Callithrix jacchus: one gene and its partner. Each later gene encodes a partner of the first gene's protein in a complex. Links are inferred from orthologs where the notes say so. Each region holds a gene or a part of one and is shown on either strand. Other genes may lie near its edges.

The links. Proteins that work in one complex are often made in the same cells at the same time.
Region 2: RUVBL1 (region 1) and MORF4L2 share a complex: the UniProt entries of both Homo sapiens proteins name them as parts of the nuA4 histone acetyltransferase complex. The link is inferred for Callithrix jacchus from reciprocal best matches to the Homo sapiens genes RUVBL1 and MORF4L2.

Annotation. Positions count from the first base shown.
Region 1 is NC_133516.1:74,046,337-74,050,021, reverse strand, and holds part of RUVBL1 (ruvB-like 1), read right to left. Parts: intron 928-3,685; coding exon 776-927; intron 1-775. UniProt on the Homo sapiens protein: Possesses single-stranded DNA-stimulated ATPase and ATP-dependent DNA helicase (3' to 5') activity; hexamerization is thought to be critical for ATP hydrolysis and adjacent subunits in the ring-like structure contribute to the ATPase activity.
Region 2 is NC_133524.1:99,740,773-99,744,949, forward strand, and holds the start of MORF4L2 (mortality factor 4-like protein 2), read right to left. Parts: upstream 2,802-4,177; 5' UTR 2,746-2,801; intron 1,431-2,745; exon of another isoform or gene 1,362-1,430; intron 2-1,361; 5' UTR 1-1. UniProt on the Homo sapiens protein: Component of the NuA4 histone acetyltransferase complex which is involved in transcriptional activation of select genes principally by acetylation of nucleosomal histone H4 and H2A.

The sequences.
Region 1 (3,685 bases):
TTAGGTAATTAGGCGCCACACCCAAAGCCATAACTCTGAAAGACAGGCAAGTATTATTCCCATTCAACAGATAAAGAAACTACTACTCAGAGATTAATGCTATGCAGTTGTAAGTAGCAAAGCCAGGTTTTTCCTTTAGGACTTAGACTCCAAAACTCATGCTCTTCCCCTAGGAACTCTACTGCCTCCATCCTAAAGACTTACAGGACAGGTGGCTGAGGAGTGCCTTTGATGGCTATCCAGTGTCACCATTCTGGCCTCTCCTCAAAGCCCTGTACTGAGCAAAACCAGCCACTGAAATGACAGAGGGTTCCTGATATAAGCAACTCCAGTCAGGATTCTGTATGTGGCCCCTAGGAAGTCCATCCATCATCTTTATACAACTCTATTTGATTACTCAATGCTGTTTCTTTCTATGAGCATGAGCACTGATAACTGGAAAAATTAATGCCCAGGTTCAGACCCAGCCCAGGGTCTTTGACACATGGTCATAATATGGAACATGGGATGGCAGAGGCAGTTTCTTGACTTAACCACACAGCTCATGTTTTAACATGAACAGTTTCCTAGGAGTTACTAAGAAAAGAGCTGTCTTCCTTGAGTCCTCCTATGTGGTACTGCTTTATACACACAATATCCTCAAACAGTTCTGTGAGAAATCAATACTTGCAGTGCATAGGTCAGGAGACTGGGATGCAGAGAGGTTACAACACCTGCCCAAAGCCACGCGGTGCTGGGAGTGTCAAGAGAAAAGAGGCCACAAACATATACTCACTTTCAACTGTTTGGTTCCTTTGGCTGTTTTGAGTCCTATGATTACATGGCTAATTGTTTTGCCATATCCCCCCATAGGATTCTCTGTCTCGCACGGAGTTAGCTCTGTGACTTCACCTTCATAAACTTCCTTGGTCTCCTTTATTCGCAGCCCTGGAAGAGGTGGCAGAGGGGCCATGGTGAGGACAGAATCTTCTCTCTTATTCTGAGAGCCCAAAACTTCTGGGTCACCAGAACTGACAAATCAACCTTAATAATGTACATTCCAGGTGTCATGATGGGTAAAGAGGCAATACAAACATATCAATGTAAATTAGAGGAACCATTAGAAATACAACTTTTTAAGGGAACTTTCTAGGTTCAAATCCAGAACTAGACAGACAAGTTATAATTCTCAAAATTGCCTACTCCATTTCCACGGGGGTGAAATTTAGCTTTAGCCTTTAGTCTCTGAACCCACACTATTCTATTCCACCAGAACAGTGGCTATCAAAACTCCTGTAGCCTTGTTTCCTGCATTTCTGACTCTCAAAGGAAATCTTAAAACCAATGGAATAACTCACTACACACCCTCTGATAATAACAAGCCTGAGCAGGGCATACTAAAATAATTAGGTGTCTATGTCAACAGTGGGAAACACTCCACCCTGCCAGGTGTTATGGGCCTCTGGCTGACTCTCACTGCATACCCCAAGAAGAAATACCCAGTTGTCATGCATTATTTGCAATGTGTTGCTCTACAATTTTTCTTTCTTCCCTCTCTCCCTTCCTTCCTTCCTTTTTCTTTCTCTCTCTTTCTGCTGCTCTAAAATCTCAGTATCTCTCTCCCTCCCCCCACTCTTTCTTGTTGAGTCTTGGTCTGTCACCCAGGCTGGAGTGCAATGGTGAGAACTCGGCTCACTACAACCTCTGCCTCCCAGGTTCAAGTGATTCTCCTAGCTCAGTCTCCCAAGTAGCTGGGATTACAGGTGTGTGCCACCACATCTGGCTAATTTTTTTTTTTTTTTTTGAACTTTTAGTAGAGATGAGGTTTCACCACGTTGGCCAGGCTGGGCTTGAATTCCTGACCTCAGGTGATCTGCCCACCTTGAGCCTCCCAGAGTGCTAGGATTATAGGCATGAGCTACCATGCCTGGCTGCTCTATAATTTTTTAAAGGTGATAACAGAACCAATTTCCAAAGCACTTTATATTAGAATATTGCAAATAAAGGTAAATGTCTCTCCTAATTCTAAACATCATCCACATTAGCTCTTTAATAAACATTTGCTTATTATCCAAGAATCCCTGTTAAATTAATTTTTAGAACATGATCTTATGTTCATTATATGCTTTTGCATATAATGGCTCTGCTTCCTGAAGCACTGTTTTGTTTTGTTTTGTTTTGTTTTGTTTTGTTTTGTTTTGTTTAGCTTAGGCAACTCCTCCTTATAGTCTCAGTTTAAAACTCATCCACTCCCTCTTGACATATCTTTCATTTCTTCCTCATCCTTCAAATTGCCCCCATGGACCTGTGTTTCCACTGGCATAGCACAGCACATAGCAATGCCATAACTTGCAGACCTTGCCTACCCCTCTGCAGACTGTCCATACCTGAGCTAAGGGCCTAGCACATCAGCAGGCACAGTGAATAGATGAATGAATGAAGTCATTAAGGGTGAAGGGGTGTCATTAGGCAGACCATGAATTAATAATACTCAAGAAACAAACCTGCAGACACATTTACATGTTCTATATGGTAATGGCCTGAGAACCCTAGGAGCCAGCCATGTAATGTTATAGCCCGTATCACCATAACACCCTCAACCTCAGCACTAAAAGCCAGGCATAACTGAAGCATACTGTTAGAAATCAAGATTACCATTAATTTAGGAAAGGAAGGATGGCAACTGGGAGTAAACATGAGGGGTACTTTGGAGTTCTGGCAACATCCCCTTTTTTGATCAGCTGCTAGTTTCATGGGTTTTCACTTTATGATAATCCACGTACCTATGTATTTATGTTCTGCATACTTTTCTGTATATATGCACAAAATTACCAAGTCTACTTTAAAAAAATTTTTTAAGTAAATAATACCAGTGAGACTCAGTGAAGTAAGACCACTGATGGCCTAAGTTTAGGAAACACTACCCTAAACCTCTGCTGGAGCTTGTGGTCATGGTTCTCAATCTTTAGGTCCACCTGAGAAGTCCCTATAATGGGACTGGGTAGAGCCGTGGCTGTACCCAGACTATTTGCTTCCAAATCTCAGGGGATGGGGCCCTGCCATCATCATTAGTTTAAAATTCCCCCCATGATTCCAAAGTACAGACACAGTTGAGATCCAGTTATCTAAAGAATAAGTGAAAAAACATTCTCACAAATGTGGAGACATAAGCTAGTTCTGATGGCAGGGAGGCTCGATAAGGATTTGTTGTCCTCACCATTAAGCTACCTCTGTTCTGATATGGAAATATTCCAATGGCACTAAGAAACACTACCTATGGTATCAGGTACGCTCAGTAACTTCCCACTTTTAAATGCAGTCATTATCTTATCATTGGGCCATTTGCCTTCTTTACCCCAGAAACCCAGTCAGGACAAAGACTCTCACATATTAAAGTTAAGGAAAAGTTTTACTCTACCTTAATTTCATCTGATAGCTTATAAATGGAAGTTTTGGAATGGCCCCAAAAGAGAAGACCCATTTCATTTGTGCTTTACCGAATCCTTAGTTCCTGAATACTAATCTTAGATAAAAATTTTCCAAACAACATAAACATATTAGAAGATTGTGGTAAACTTGGAAAATCCTGTACCTTTAAAGTGAACTTTGATTTTTTTAAATCAAACGTTTTATATCCCACAGTGATAAATTCCTTCAAATGGAATGCTTACTTATATTTACTGTTAGACAAATGTGGCATGAAATT
Region 2 (4,177 bases), on another chromosome or scaffold:
CCTAGAAGGTCAAACAAAAGGACAGGAAAGGACATAAAATAAAAAGATATGAGATATGGCTTTCTTCTTCATCAGCCAATGCAATTTCATCACACACAAAGGACACCAAAGCTGATAAATAATGTACAAGTGTTTCTTTTTCCTTTCTTGTGGCTACATTTTCAAATTTAATTTATTGTACATTTATATAATTTCTGACAAATTTAAAAAAAACTTTTCCTTAAAGATAATTTCAAATGGATAAAAGAAATAGTATTATAAACCTACATGAATCCATCATCCAGCTTTCAACAATTACCAACTGAAGGCCATCTTGTTTCATCTATAACCCCACCCACTGCTCCCCCGCACCCCCGACTTTTTCAAGCTCACCGGAATATCTGGCTTTTGTATTTTATTCCAGAAAAATTTAAACGTATACCAAGGAAAGCAGATAAATATAAGGAACTCACTGCGTATCAATCAGCTTAAATTATTATTAATTTAGGGCTAATTTTTTTTCATCTATACCCCTCCCCATTTCCCCCCACCGCTGAGATTATTTTGAAGCAAAACCTAGTCATTAATGTATTTAGAAGTCAACCTCAGACATTACATTATTTAATCCGTAAATATTTTTGCATATGTCTCTACAAAAAAAGGACAATTTGAAAACATAACCACAATACTACTGTGACGCCTAAAAAAACTGACATCAATTCCTTAAAAAACATCAAATATCGAATCCGTGTTCCAATTTTCCCGATGCGTCTTAAACGTATTTTTACAGTTGGTATGTTCGATTCAGGATCCAAACAAGGCCTACTCATCGCATGTGGTTCATCTCCAGCTCGCTCTCGTTCTCCATCTCTTTCTTTCTCGCACCCCCCACACCTTTTATTTAACTTTTCAATATGGAAAAATTACAATCTATGCTATTTTCAGGCAATTCTCAAATAGCAAATTATTTCATTGTTAAAAATCGATATATCTCTTTTATCTTTTATTCTACGAAAGAAGTTGATGGTAGAAAGGGCACTACAATTAGCGAATCTGCATAATTTATAATTTTTCTCATTCTATTACGCAGATTATTTATCTCCATAACAATACATAATATCTTCAGGAGCCAGGCTTCATATTACATGCTCTATACGCACTATTATACAGTAAACGTCGCTGAGGTAGATACTATTATTATCACCATTTTACAAACATGGAAACCGAGACACAGAAAGAACAGGAGCCTTGCCCAAGCTGGGCGTTGGCAAGCAGGAATTTGAATCCAGCTCTGACCGATTGTGAAGCCACTAGCTAATCCCGTCTCTACCCGACGAAAAGAGGAAATCATCGACCCTTTCTCCCCACCCCCACCCCGAAACCTGAAACGAGAATCCAGATCTTCCCAGCAGCCGACGTGTGATCACTGCCGTTCCTCCAACCGCCATAGTAAAGCCAGGTTTCTCTGGCAACTGATATCCATAGGCAGACACGTCACCCTGGAGGAGGGCGTATGCTCTTCAGCCAATCACAATCGTCTTGTCTAAGTTTTAGAATGTTCCATAACCAAATGATTGGATAACCACCCCCACGTCAGCAATGACACTTAGCCGCAGTAAAGGCGGGTGCTAGCAACCTGCTTCTTCACTGTTAAGGCCTACAGCAAACCAATCACCTTCCTCCGTTAGTGCGAGTTCCGGCCAATGACGTTCGCCCTCTTAGGTTTTTAGCCCGCCCTCCAAAAGCGTGACAGCCGTTGGGTCATAAGTCTATAGGGCAGAATGTTCACGTGGCCTATTTCACGACCCAGAGTTCCTCTGACCAGAAGGTTTTTTTTTTTTAATTTTTCTTTTCTTTTTTTTTTCTGCAGGGAGGCATTATGGGTTTGTGTTTCCCCCCTCCTTCACTGGGAGAGGAAGTGTCTACGTGGCCTGCGGAAATAGGATAGGCGGAAATGAGCTAAGGTTCCCGCGAGTGGGGAAGCGAGAGGTCATATCTGGGGCCACGCCCCCAGACCTGTGGCGCAACTCTCCGAACATGAAAAAAAAAGACGCAATGGGGGTTCTGCTGTGTTTGCGAGTGAGGGTCCCGAGTGCCGCGGGCGCAAGGCATTAAGGCCAGTGTGTCAGTGCGCGGGAAGGCTCGCGTGGGGCCCTGGGGTTGCTCTGGGAGCGCGCACCGGCCCTCGTGGCGCGGGAGGTAATGTGTGTGCGCAGGCGTGCGCCCCGGGCGTCGGGCTGGTGAGAGCCACAGCGCGCACCGGCACTCGGGCGCGCGGGCGCGCGTGTCTGCTGGTGTTGGGGGGCGGTGAGGGGAGGGGTTAGCTACGGCGCGCAGGTTGTTATCTATTTCTGTATTGTTTGAAAATGTTCTAATGAAAAGGAAAATAATTAAGGCAAGGCGACAATAACAGAGATAAAAGGGGCTTTGTCAGAAATATTTTGGCTTTCTCTACTGATTTAATTAAAGACTTAAAAAAATACACTCCCTACGTTTTCCTTTCTGCCAGAATCCCACTGTAAACCACAGCCCTCCAGTGGTTTAAGAGCCAAACCCTTCCATCGCCACATTAGCAACTGCAAAGAGAGGCTTCTTTCAAGTTCTCTAGTATCCTCCTTCCTCCCCTCCTCCAAACCTCCCCCCCTCCCTCCAAGGCTGCATGCAGTTTTCTTGGCACAAATACAATTTTCCTATGGGAATGTCTATACGACAGCATTCCCCTTCATTAGGGACTCCGAATTTTTGTGGGGATTGAGGCGCTCTTACCTTTGCGTCCTGATTTCCAAGCACGCACACTGCCCTTCTTCAGGCAAATGCGCACTGTTAATTTTCCAGAAAGTTCTGTGGGTTAGGGTTATACCTCTCGAGTCTCCCACTAGATGCCGCCAAATCCCAGCAAAGGATTGGCTGTTTGGTCCCTGGGATTATGGGGTTTTGTTCTCCCCACTCCCCTTCTGATTTGCTGAACACTACAATCTATGAGGATCATGGCTGTCGTTCATTCCTAGGGAAAAATAAAATCAACTTCTGTAAATAACACAAGTAGGCAGGGGACTATGATCCAAGGTCCAAATAATTTTGCTTCTTTCTTTCCTTTTCTCCTTGGAAAAAAAAAAAGGTCCCTCTCCAGCACTCTCTTCTTTTGTCCTTGCCTTGTTTAATCAGAGTTAATGAATGACCCAAGCACTGATGTTGAATATGCTAACCCTTTTTCCTCACCTTTTCAAATGCTCACAATTCACCCAAACTGAAAATACAGATAGCTGTTCAGTCAGTAAAGATAGGTAAGAACTCATCAGTAAAACTTGGACCCTGGTATTGAAAACTGATTTTCCTTTTCTCTTGAAATTTGTATCAGATATGTGTGTTTACACCCTATTTTCTGTAGTGTTTTTGGTAAACTTTATTGTGTCTTTGGAGTAAGAGACCTAATTGTAGACCACATTCCATCACCTCAGTACGCTGGGCAAATGATTTATGTTTTGTGACCCTCAGTTTTTTGTATGCTTTCTGTATTTTAGATGCTATGTTATATCCTTCACGTCGATTTTTAAAAAATTCATCACCAAGTCCTTATTAGATGAGCACTACTAGATCAAAGTCAAATAACAAAAATCATATCCCTTTCAGTTATCTATCATATATACTTGTATACACACACAGGGAGGATTTTTTTAGAGCAGTGGTTCCCAAGGTATGTTTTCTGGATGTACCAGAAACATCAGTATAACCTGAAAAGTTGTCAGAAATTCACATTATCAGGTCCGACCCCAAACATAATGAATCAGAAGTTCTCAGGGTGGGGTTTGATAATCTGTGTTATTAACAAACTATCCCAGTGATTCCAGCACACACTGAAGTTTGAGAACCACTGCTTTGGAGAGTAGAAATGCAATGCATATTTTTGTACACACCACTAGAGGGTGCTACAGAATGTAAAGCAAAATAATAAATGATATACAATATATGTTTTCAGACACCCTCCATATTATCAGTCGTATTTTACAGATTAAAAACTAATGTATAGAGATGTCAAATTATTTTCTTAGTGCACACAACAAGTATGGGAACCAGGATTTGAACTTTACCTGCCTCTAGCCCAAACCCCTAATAGTACTCTGTTGTTTAACCATAATGACTTGTCTTTCCAAGCCTCAAAATACATTAGAAATATCTTGTTCCCTGCTTTGGCGAATGT